Linked DNA regions of Coturnix japonica. The protein of the gene in region 2 interacts with the protein of the main gene of each other region in a pairwise test. Links are inferred from orthologs where the notes say so. Each region holds a gene or a part of one and is shown on either strand. Other genes may lie near its edges.

Region 1 (4,337 bases), on a different chromosome or scaffold from region 2:
AGGACATCCAGCACGAGAGAACTTCAGCAGTAACATTACATGCACACATACGTGTTTCTTAATACCAACCAAGACACAAGACTATAAACCGTGCTCTGTATTTAAGAAGGAACTGGAAGAGTTCATCACACGCCATACGTGGAAGTTAATGAACTATAATACTGCGACTCAACAAACAATACTTGTCACCTTAGACACCAAAACAAAGACTGTGTTTGCTTTTACCTGATCTGGATTAGAGCTGCTACAGAAAGCTCGGCTTGTAAGTAGTATTCCCTGAAAGGTTGCAGCAGATGGGCCAGAGGAAATTCATCTGTTAAAACACAGACATAGAAATTGTTTAATACACCAGAGAGTCCTTTGATCCCACTGTCTGAGAAGTTCCACATTTGCTGACTAGTTTGCTGATCCCCAGCTTAACTTGAAACCCTCACCTTTTATTTTCATGTTATGCACATCTCGCCCTTCCCAAAGCTGTCAGAGCAAAGCTCAGACCAGCAAAACTTTTCCCTGTCTCTGTCCTCTGCACCATGGGAACATATGGACACTGAATTGTTTTATATCACACAGACTGCACTAACCAAATTGTCAGAACGAAGCACCTGCTGCACGCTGGAAGTCTTCAATCTATTCTGTTTATTCCCACCTCAGTGTAACCTACAGCCTCTTTTGTGCCTGTATTTTAAACCCAACGCCTAAGAGTTGAAAGCAATAAACACGGTGAAGTCTGGCAGGCAGGATTTACCTGGATCCCCAAACAGCTTGGAATCAATGTCACGCTTCTGCTGTAGAAGCTTTTCCCTTTCCTTCTTCTCTTTCTTTTCCATTTCTCTCTTCCTTTCTTCCTCCTGTTCTCCTTCCAGCATCACTCTCAGCGCTCTCTCCTCAGCCTCATACAGCTCTGTGCGATTTTGGAGCAACGCTCTGAGACTTTCCACCTGATTTTCAAAGGCTTCATCTGCCGAGGGAGGTGGACAAACGCCTAAAGAGAAGGAGAATTAACATCACAAAACATTCACAAGGAGCTGTTATGAGACTTAAAAGCAGAGCTGGCAAAATCTCAGACAGGCACAAGCTAACAAATATCTCAACAGGAGTTTTCTTCTGGTAAGAAAGAGTTTGGAAGCATAGGAACAGTCGCTGCATCCAATCTGCTGTCCTGCATCCCATAGCTATCCTTACAGAACAACATAATGACAATAATAAAGAAACAGCTTCTTCAAAATGCACCTTCCACATCCCGTTATTTCCCGTGCGCACCATTAGAAGAATTCCCCTAATTAACCTTTCTTGGCAGCAGCTTCTTTCCTCAGTTTCCGAAGCTTTTCCAAGGAGCCCAGGATGTCCACCATCCTCTTGGTGTCTGCCTGCTTCTTCCTTACTTCAGATAAGACGCTGTCTGCAGCAGCCTTAAGCTCCCGCTCCTGCAAAGGAAAGAGAAGCAAAAGGATGAATTATCCCACACAGACCAGAATGAGAAGCTACTATCAAAAACAGAGTCCCCCTACCAACATAAACTGTTCTGACTTCACAGCTGTGCAGTTCCAGACCATTAACGTGCCAGTCTGGATACAACACTTTGCATATCAGCTGCTCTCTGCCACCCCAGCAATAGGCCCAGCAACCAATGCAGTGCCAACACCACTTCCCATTGAGCTTAATTTGGGTGGGTTTTTATTGTTATTTTATTGCTTTGGAACCTTGCCCACTGCCTGTATCCCTCTGGGCCTTCAGGGACAGTATCCCCACCAGGTGAGCAGTTTGCACTGCTCTTTCTGAATAGAAATGTCTCCTAATATTCAACCAGACCCTCCCTGACCCAACTGGAGGCCATCACCTCTCATTATATCGCTGTTAATGGGAGCAGAGGCTGAGCCCACCTCTGCACAACCTCCTCTCATGAGTTACATAGAGCAAGGAGGTGTCCCCTGAGCTCTTTGATGGACCCACACCAGTCAGCTGCTGCTCATGGGACAGCGTTCCACACCTGCCCCTATATCCTTCTTATTGAGGGCCCTAATGCAGCACACGGCTGGGGAATCCATCCTCTGCCGATGACACAGCTCCAATTGGAGCCCCGGCTGTAGGCACAGGGCTGAGGCCGCTCTTCCATACCCGGTTCTTCTCCTCCACCTCCTGGATACACTTTGCCCTCCATCGGTCGATCTCGGCCTCCCTCTCCGCAGCTCGGGCCGCCTCCTCCTCCTTGGCTTTGCGGGCCTCCATCTTCCTCCTCTGCATCCTCTCCCTCCTCTTTCTCGCCTTCTCGGCCTTCCTGCCCATTTCCCGCAGGTAGCCGGGCTCTCTCAGAGGTCTCACCGTGTCCCTCAGTCCCTCCAGCAGCTCCTCGGCCTCCTCCCGCTCCCGTTCCCATCCCTCCTCACAACCCTCGGCCTCACGGTTCCTCAGTGCCCGGCACAGCGCGGTGAGGCGGCTCACGGCCCGCAGCGCCCGCACCGCCAGCTGCCGGCCGAGCTCGGGGCTGGCACCGCAGGGAGGGAACGGGGACACAACCGGGGGGACCCGCCGGGAGAGGAACTGCGCCAACCAGCGCTCATCGCGCTGCCGATCCGCATCGCCATCGGGGGGCAGCGGGGGAGGAGGACGGTCGGGTGAAGGCCACGGGGGGAAGAGCGGAGGGACGGAGGGACCGCGGAAAAACGAGCCGGGTTCGGATGGAGGAGGGAGGAGGAAAGGAGGGAGAGCAGGGCGGGATGCGGGGACCGGGAAGGGAGAGGGGGGCGGAGGGAACGGAGCGGGGGAATGAGGGGGGAAGGAGCGGAACGGCGGCGGAGTAAAGCGGGAGGTGAACGGAGGAGGGGGCTGCGCCATCTTGGAGGAGCGGCTGCAGCAGCGACACCTGGCGGCCGGGAGGAAACGGGGCTGGGGGCGGAGAACAGCACTGTCCGACCTTAACCCTCCCACTATCCGACCCGACCCTCCCACTATCCGACCCGACCCCCCCCTAACACAACTGGAGGCCATCCCCCTTCTTTCCTGCCCATCCCCAGCCGAACAGGAGCAGCAGGGATGACACAGCTCCATCTCCCGGGACTCATTGGTTTTATTCAGCAATAAGGTACAAACTGAGGTTACACAGCATTTGTTTCCTTAAAAACAGTTCTTGATTCTTAATAATTGCAAACAATCCCAAAACAACTTCCAAAACTAAAAGTTGTTGTTTGTTAACAGTTCTGCCTAAAATGGTTCTTTTTTGCAATCCATTAAAAAAAAAACGAAACCAATCTGGATTAAAGAAATCTTGAATTAAAAGCGATTCTATTTCTCACTCTACAAAGAGGAAAATGAGGACAGGTTACAGCTCACCACAGGTTCCCATCTAAGAGGCGATGGAGCTTCTCCTGGAAACACCCTCAGCTCTAAAAGCAGCTTCTTTCGAGCCGTGGATGGTGAGTGAACAGAAGGTGGAATCCTAAGGCGGTACCTGATGCATCTGGCTAACAGGGTCCTATGGAAGAAGGCAAGGATTACACCACTATCACTTCAAATTTACATGACGAAAACGAACAGAAAACAAGGGCCGAGCATCCGCAGAACCCTCCCCTACCTAAAACACCTACAGGATGGATAGAAAAGAACCAGACGAGTTAAATTGTTTAGGAGAAGGGCTGAGTAAAACCTAAATCCATCTGAAGGACGAAACCGAGTTGTAAGCGACAACTTTAATTCCTGAAACAAACTGCAAACGTAACAGGTCCATTTGGGGCTTTTACAAACACTTTCCTAAGGGACTGAATTCATTTGGGTGTGGGACAGAAGGCCTTGCTTTGCTGTGAGCCTACAAACCAAAGACAAAAGCACAAGATGCAATACTACAGCATTCAAGCATATAACTTAAGCAGTGCCGTGTGAACACTCGCTACCCATTACATCAAAAATATGATACACTTACTTTTCGTCTCTTAACATTATAAGATAGGTTGGGCAAATAGCTGGCACCAAAAAATTGATGCATGATCGTTCCAATATGTTAAACAAAACGTACTATATTAGAACATTAATATTTAAAAAATTTAAGCCAACTTGGCATCCAAACTCTGACCACCCCCTCCTTATTTCATTTACCCTTCTGGCAAAGTGAGCTCGTTATTGTCTTCACCTTCATCCTCAGCACTTAAGGTGACCGTAACTTTCTCCCAATGGGGAGGTGACCAGCAGGATGTATTATTCAGTATCCAATTTAACTAACAGCCCAGCGGTACATTGTTAGCATGATCTCCCAGCGCTGTCTGCAGGGTTGTCCCCAAGCTTTTCAGAGTCCTGGTGCAAGGGCTTCCCCTCCCAGCCCATGTAACAAATCGCTCCAGCACTGCTGG
Region 2 (4,312 bases):
GCAGTGTGTGCCTTTGCATGCAGATACTGCTGGGAAGAAGCATTGCTGGAGATACAGAGAATCTAAATGCTCAAAAGAAGGCTTTGTGAGCTGGCAACGGCACAGAGCAGGGGATGCGTCCTCAGCAGTAAATGACTTATTTCACAAAAACAGTTTTACAGAAAAACTGTGTCACTGTCGGCAGCAGTGAATGGAATTAAAAAGGACATGAGTTATGGGGACACATGAGAAATTCATTCCCAACACTGCCCTGGGCAAAGGTGCTGGAGCTGGAAGTGTCTGAGCACTGCAGGGTGGCATGGGTGGAGTTAATTCTGTAAAAATAGAATGGCATGGAACATGGAATGGAATGGAATGAAATAAGGAGTGGAATGTGGAATGGAATAGAATGGATGGGATGGAGTGGAGTGGAATGGAGTGGATAGGATGGAATGGAATGGAATGGAATGGAATAGAATAGAATAGAATAGAATAGAATAGAATAGAATAGAATAGAATAGAATAGAATAGAATAGACCTTCATGATGCTGTAACCATGAGATGGGGTGGGATCATGGGAACCCTTTTTTCTCAAAGCAGAAAGCTTTTCCAGAGCTGTTGTACTGCAAAATGCTGCTTTCCTTCCCCCAGATACAGTGTGCTGTGTCGCCAGGCAGCTGTGACACTGCGATGTGTTATCTCACGTATGCAGCCTCAAAGCCTTGCCAACTGAATTCTCTACCCTGAAATCCTTCAGTTTCAGGGTGTTTTGAGACCATTTGCTAAAAGCACAACAATGCAACAAGAGCTCTGTGCTGGTTTGCAAGAACAAAAGGATGACATTAGGGAAGCTGGAAATTTCCAGCAAATCCTGCAGCATCGCTGGGTCTGGGAGGTGTGTGTGGATACAGGAGCAGCGCTGCCCTGTGCATCCCTGCAGTGCATCGCACTCACAGCCGTGGCAAAGCACAGCCTCCAGGTGGGGGTGCAGGGTCTGCTGCTCACTCAGGGTTACAGAGAATAGAGATGGATGTACGGACCCTTAAAAAAAAAAGCATTGAGGCAAGAGGGAAAAGGGACTTTTGCATAGTTAATAGCTTTTTAAGAGATCTTGTTTCAGCTTCATCTCATTTGTATATATATTCATATAGTCTGATTTTTGTAATGGATGCAATATATTTGTACGCTTGCAGAAGTGCATGAATAAATAAATACATATATATTAAAGGGAGGGGAGAATGGTGTATCGGGGGGTGCATGACCCAAAGAAAGGCTGTGAGGAGGATGAGGATGAGGAGGAGGAGTAGGAAGGTGAAAAATAGGACGATGTGGAGGACAAGGAGGAGGAGGATGAGGAGGATGAGGATGAAGGTGATACTGATGATGATGTTGAGCAGGGTGAGCACGTAGAAGGCAAGATGTGAATGATGGTGAGAGCCCCGCGCCCCCCTTCCTTTGCCCTTCCCCGGGGATAAGGGGGTGATGGGGGGGGGCTGGGGGGGCGTGAGCTCCTCAGATGACGTCACCCTCCCCCCCCAGCCCGTTCCGCGCGTGCGCAACGCCCCCCCCCCGCCCTCCCCCCGTCAACCTTCTCCCGGAGAGCGGAGGATGCGGGGCCGCAGGTGGGTGCGGGGCTGGGGGGAGCACAGGGGGGGGAGGACATGGGGAGGGACCCCCGTGGGGGTGTGGGAGTGCGAGAAACTGGGGCTGCAGCCGGAGGGGAGTGGGTGCACGGTGCGTGGATGTGTGCGTGAGTTGATGGGGGTTGCACAGGGCGTTGCATGTGTGCGGGGTGGGGGCTGGAGAAAGGTTTTGGAGATGCAGCGCGATGGATTGCGGGGCTCTGTGGGGGGGGGCATCACTGCGCAGTGTGCGGATATCGCGTGAGGGCGCCCCTGGGCGGGGGGCGCGCTGGGTGCTGCGCACGGGTCGTAGCGATGGGATTTGGGGGTGCTCGGTTGTGGGGGGGCAACAAGGAGCTGCCCGCCCCTCCGGTGCCCGATGCGCTTCAGCAGCCGTGCGGGGGCAGCGCTGCGGGGCGCGCAGGCGCTGTGAGACGGGGCGGGGGAGGGGGATGTGGGGCTGGGGGCGTTTGGGGCGCATCGGGGGGGCCGTGCAATGAGCTGCACGGATGAGGGATGCTGGCAGGGGCATGCGCAGTGCACGCATGCGGTGTGTGTAGTGGAGAGCTTGGGGTGCACAAAGCAGGATACGTGTGAATGGTGCAGGTGTGCACAAAGCTGGTGCACAATGATGCGTGCACAGTGCACATCTATGAAGTGCATGTGTATGCAGCCACCCCGGGTGTGCATACAGAATGCCTGTGCACTGTACACACGTGCACCCTTCCATCTATGTGCCTCTGTGCAGGCATGCACTCCCTCCATGTGCAGGACTACACACCTGCACAGGACTGCAGGCCTGGAGGACAATTCTGGGATGCTGCTGAGGTGTTAGCAGGGATTTACCAAAATGCCATCAGATAGAATGCCAGTAGTGGTGGGTTTCTACTGAGATACAGGAGCACACTCTATTACTAAGATACTGCACAGCCATTCCTAGGACACTGCTCAGATGGCATCAGGGTACCACTGTGATACTGTTGAGATACTGTCACAACACTGATAAGGTGCTACTGGAACAGTATTCAGTTTTTAGTAGGATGTTACTGTGATGCCAATGGAATACTTCTGAGCTACTGCTAGAGAATGAGGACAGGTAGTGGTAAGATGCTTCTGGGGTACTATTAAGTGCTATTTGAGCACTCAAGGAAGCTTTTGGGATACCCCCAAAAAAAGAGAAGAAGCTCTAGGGATACTATTGAGCAGCTACCAAGACAGGACTAAAGTACTACTGGGATATTACTGACACTGGGCTTACAGCCAGCACAGGGACTGGGGAGCCCTGCTGACACAGCCTGTGAGCAGCAGGTGCCTCGTGGGCACCTTGTTCCCACAGCTAAGACGGCAGCGGTGGCAAGGAGGATGGAAGCACCCCTGGTAAGCCTGGAGGAGGAATTCGAGGAGGGGCTTGGGGACAATGGGGGGACCCCCCGGCGCACCATGGACCCAGCACTGGCTGAGCTGGAGAGCTTCTCGACTGAGATGATGAGCTTCAAGTCGATGGAGGATCTGGTGCAGGAGTTTGATGAGAAGCTCACCGTCTGCTTCCGCAACTACGATGCCACCACTGAGGGCCTGGCCCCTGTGAGAGGCCGGCTGCAGGCACAGGAGGAGGAGGAGCACCTCCAGGATGAGGAGTGAGTAAGGCTGTTCCTGCTGGGAACGTGGGTCTCCTTGCACTTCCATCCCCATGTTGTAGCATGATCATGCAGTGCACCACAGTTTTGGTGCAGTAACTCCCTTAGGGCCTTTGTGCCTCCTTATACCCCTGAGACTTCCCCCATGTGCTGCTCAGAATCCTGCATCATGCTGTAATTGTGCATATGCATGGAGTTCCTGTGTGCTGTCTTACAAATAGGACACATAGGACACTTGGGCCTGCATGTCTCCTTGCATCACTGTGAGATACACCCCACCCCCAGCATGGAAACCTGCTTGCCCCATTGCAGCATGACTGTGTGGAGTGTTGTGTTGTGTCCTATGAGCAGGGCACATCTGGGGCCTGTGCACCCCCTTGAGTGCTTGCAGGGCACCCTCCGTGTGCAAATCAGGTCCTTCCTTGCAGCATGGGAATGCAATACCATGCAGTATGTGTAGTATCCTACAAGTGAGCACATCAGGTGCCCCACATGACACTGCAGAGGGTCCAGGCTTTGTGAGGAGAGCTGGGGGTAAGTGTGAGCAGAGAGTAAGGTGTGAGTAAGGTGAGGGCTCATCCTCCTCCTTGCAATGTAAAACTGTGCACCAGAGTGGGGCTGTTAGGGGCAAAATCTGCCCAGTGCTGCCTTTCCAGCCAGAAGCATCATAGTGGCATTTGCTCTGAAATCTAACTTTCCTATGAAACCTTTTTTTTTTTTGTTGCAAAATGCCATTTAGGGGCAGAATTTGCCAGCAGTGTTGACATACAAACAACTTCCTAATGGATTTCTTTTTGCCTGTTTAGTTGAGATTATTCCCCAGGCTGCACTTCCTAATACTGATTTTTCACCATGCAAAGTGGTTGTTTTTAAACCAAAAGCTCTCAATTTTTTTTTTTCTTTTTCTTTTTTTTCAGCTGTTTTTGTATTTTCCAGTGAAAAATCAGTGATTTTGCAGAGAACAAAATGAATTCTGGCAGAACGCCCAGAAAGCTGCGCTGCCACCAGCAGCCCATGGTGCCACTTAGTGCTGTGGATTGTGTCACTTTGGGTCAGTTTGGGCAAAACAGGCTT
Region 3 (3,122 bases), on a different chromosome or scaffold from region 2:
AGAGGAAGTTTATTAAGAAAACAATAAAGTGAAGTTGAAGTAAGTTCCTGTTTCGGTCTGTAACTGCTGCCTGCCTGTGCCCAGGGCCCGAGGGCAGCAAGGAGCCAGAGGTTGGGGACAAAGCACTGAGCTCCTGCCAAGGGACAGAGCTGAGGGCACAGCCGGCCCTGCCCGGCCCCATGTAGGGAATGCAGCTGGGGACAGCCCTGCTGTGTCCTCATAGGGCTCCTCACTGCTGTGCCCGACCCAGTGCCCGTCCCTGCTGCCCATCTGCATGCAGCTCCAGAGCCAGAGGTATGTGTGCAGTCAGGCTGCGAGCATCCAACCCCCATTAAAACAGCTCCTGCAGCCCCTCCTGGGTGTGACTGGAGCCCTGGCTGCCCTGAGGCCAAGCTGGGGACACCCTTCCTTCCCAGTGCCACCTCCATCATCTGCAGGGCAGCACTCAGCCCGTGCCGGCCCCTATAGCTGGGTCAGGTTTCTGTGCTGCACACCCACAGCCATGGGGCAGCAGCGGGGCTGGGGCCATCCTCGGTCCCTCCCAGGGCGCAGAGCAGCCAGGCCAGGTGGTGGAGGACACGGCATTTATTGGCCACCTATAACTTAAGGGAGAGGGAAATGGGGGTGTGAGTGACAGCGGTCACGTCTCGGCTTTCCAGCCTTTCTCCTTCTCATCCTTGGCCTGGATGCGCAGCTCCTCGTCCAGCCGCTCTTTGGCTCTCACCACCTGCAGGACGAGGCGATGGGTTGATGCAGAGCTCTCCCTTTGTGGCACTGATGGGTTCAGCCACGTAGGAAGCAGTTTTGCCCCAAAACACCTGTTTCTGGAAGCTTCCTGCCCAACCAACGGCAGCTGGATGGGCTGAGGGCAGAGCTGGGGGACTCCACAGCTCTCCTCCCTTTGCTCACCTTGGACTGCAGGTAGAAGGAACCTCCCACCGACTTGTCGTTCACCTTGAATAAATGGTCGTAGTTCTGCCAAAGGAAAACCCCCATCAGGAGCTGCTCCCTGCACCTCCCTCCCCAAAACACAGCGGGCTGTGGCTCCTGGAGCCGAGGCTGCTTCAAGGGCAGCACCTACAGACCTCCAGGAGCCCCCACCACCCTGTGCCAGCTCTCCCCAGCCGCGTTGCTCTGAAGGAGCCTTTACCTTCTGGATCTCCTCTGGGTTGAGGTTGGAGACGTTGAGGATCTGCTGAGCTTCCTGGAGGCTGATGCCGATGATCCTGGAGGCGGCTGCAGACTGAGGCCTCTCAGAGCGGCCCCGTGCATCTGCTGCAGCTCGGCTCGCTGCCCAAGGACACGGTCAGTCCTGAGCCCCCACAGCCCCGGGATTCCCGGCAGCTCCGAGCCACAACCCCCCATTGCAACCACCCACCCCCCGCAGTGTCACCCGGCTCCACTCCCCGCCCGGTGCTGGGGGTGGCACCATCCCGTGTGTGCACGGAGCCCCCCCCCGTGTGCTGTGGAGCCGGTGTCGGTTCATGTCGTACCTGCGAACTCCTGGCGCAGCGCTCTCATAAAGGCCCGTCCGACCACCTGGGCCCCCACCAGGATGATCTGCGCCAGGTACTTGGCCTGCGGGCACAGCCCCGGTCACGGCCCAACCGGCACCGTGTGTCCGGACAGGCCTCGCTCCCACCGGGCACGGCCCAGAACCGCCCCCACCTTCCCGGCCCCGTCCCACGTCCGCTGCCCGCAGCTCCCCGATCCGTCCCGTCCCGTCCCGCCCCGTGCTCCCCCCCCAGCTCCGTGTCCCTCCGGTTCCGCACCCCGCGCTCATCCCGCCCCGCTCACCATGTTCCGTCCGCCGCTTCCGCTCCCACAAGGGCGCGGGGTCAGAGAGCGGAGGGCGCGGGGCGGAGCGCCGCCTCCAGCCGGACAACAGCGCCCCCTGGCGGCAGCACCGAGCGGGAGGTCCGGGCCAAGGGCGCCGCGCGTGCGCACTAAGGAGGCGGGAGAGCGGCCGCCATTTTCCCCCCGCCCCTCATGATGAGGATCCCTCACAAGGAACAGGAGCCGGGCGGGGATGAGCGGCTTTAATGGCGGGATGCCGTGGTTTAATGGTGGAGCTGCAGTGGTTTTAATGGCGGTGCCGTCCCCCAGTGCTGGTCCAGTTTAAGATGAGTCCCATCCAGTGCGGCCTGTGCTCCGTGCAGTGCCCTGTGCTCCTCCTGCGGCCTAGTCCTATGGATGCCGGTGTCGGTGCAGCCCATGGCCGGTCCTTGGTGTCCAGCCCTCCCGTCCCGCTTCCCCCCCAACTCACCCACTCATCCTCATCCACCCCTTCGAACGAATCCTGTGGCAGCGGGTCGTGCCGGTTCCCCAGCCGTGCCACCATGGCGCTGAGCAGCTGCGGACAGACAGGGCCGTGTATTGGGGTGGGTCGGGGCATCGCAGTGCTGTGTCCCCGCCATCCCCACACTCACCTCCTCCTTCTTCTGCTCGTCTGTTTTCTCCCCCAGATAAACGGCCGCAGGGACGAATTTCCGTGCAGGTGCCTCCTTTGGGGCCTGGCTCACTGCGGGGGCAGCGTGATGTGGGGCGGCCCCACAGCTTGGAGGCCCCGCGCTGCCCCATACACCCACCTGGCACCATGTCTGTGGGACGCAGCTCCACGCGGCTCTGCTGCCCGTCTGCTCCTTGTAACCAGCTGCTGGCGCTCAGGGCCGGCTCCCACCACACGCGGGTGGGAGGGAAGATGTCCTCTTGGAAATACTCCTTCTGCAGGACGTGTGATGGTGAGCACAGCACGATGAGCTGTACCCACACAGCCCAGCCCGGTGAATACCTTGACACGAGGCACACGGAACGACACCGGCTCCAGGCTGCTCTGCCCCAGCCGCAGCGCACGCGCAAACTCCACGTCCCGCACGTCACACACTGTCTTGCGCAGGAAGACGAAGCCCTGGAGGAGCAAATACATGAGCAGAGCTGGGAGCATGGTGGGCAGCACAGCCCCAATGGACACCCCCTCACCTTGTGGGGGTCGCTGGAGGTGAAGCTGTTGCACTCAAGGAAATAGGGCGGCTCGGGGGTCACCTCATAGAGGAAGACTCTGGTGTCACCCTGGGACAGTGGGATGGAGCTGGTGTGAGGGCACGAGGACCCTCTACCACGGT

Evidence for each region.
Region 1: the proteins of FEZ1 (region 2) and PDCD7 interact in a two-hybrid assay, tested with the Homo sapiens proteins (2 studies listed by BioGRID and IntAct). The link is inferred for Coturnix japonica from reciprocal best matches to the Homo sapiens genes FEZ1 and PDCD7.
Region 3: the proteins of FEZ1 (region 2) and PAM16 interact in a two-hybrid assay, tested with the Homo sapiens proteins (2 studies listed by BioGRID and IntAct). The link is inferred for Coturnix japonica from reciprocal best matches to the Homo sapiens genes FEZ1 and PAM16.

Annotation. Positions count from the first base shown.
Region 1 is NC_029525.1:16,083,970-16,088,306, reverse strand, and holds the start of PDCD7 (programmed cell death protein 7), read right to left. Parts: upstream 2,869-4,337; 5' UTR 2,833-2,868; coding exon 2,116-2,832; intron 1,425-2,115; coding exon 1,286-1,424; intron 983-1,285; coding exon 746-982; intron 314-745; coding exon 226-313; intron 1-225. UniProt on the Homo sapiens protein: Promotes apoptosis when overexpressed.
Region 2 is NC_029539.1:76,971-81,282, forward strand, and holds the start of FEZ1 (fasciculation and elongation protein zeta-1), read left to right. Parts: upstream 1-1,480; 5' UTR 1,481-1,495; coding exon 1,496-1,601; intron 1,602-1,618; exon of another isoform or gene 1,619-1,640; coding exon of another isoform or gene 1,641-1,713; intron 1,714-2,937; coding exon 2,938-3,238; intron 3,239-4,312. UniProt on the Homo sapiens protein: May be involved in axonal outgrowth as component of the network of molecules that regulate cellular morphology and axon guidance machinery.
Region 3 is NC_029529.1:11,175,972-11,179,093, forward strand, and holds PAM16 (mitochondrial import inner membrane translocase subunit TIM16), read right to left. Parts: upstream 1,894-3,122; 5' UTR 1,801-1,893; coding exon 1,798-1,800; exon of another isoform or gene 1,773-1,797; intron 1,579-1,772; coding exon 1,494-1,578; intron 1,291-1,493; coding exon 1,151-1,290; intron 976-1,150; coding exon 910-975; intron 728-909; coding exon 641-727; 3' UTR 568-640; downstream 1-567. Other genes in the region: coronin-7, read right to left, coding at 2,182-2,187, 2,267-2,353, 2,430-2,521, 2,589-2,724, 2,792-2,908, 2,980-3,069. UniProt on the Homo sapiens protein: Regulates ATP-dependent protein translocation into the mitochondrial matrix. Inhibits DNAJC19 stimulation of HSPA9/Mortalin ATPase activity.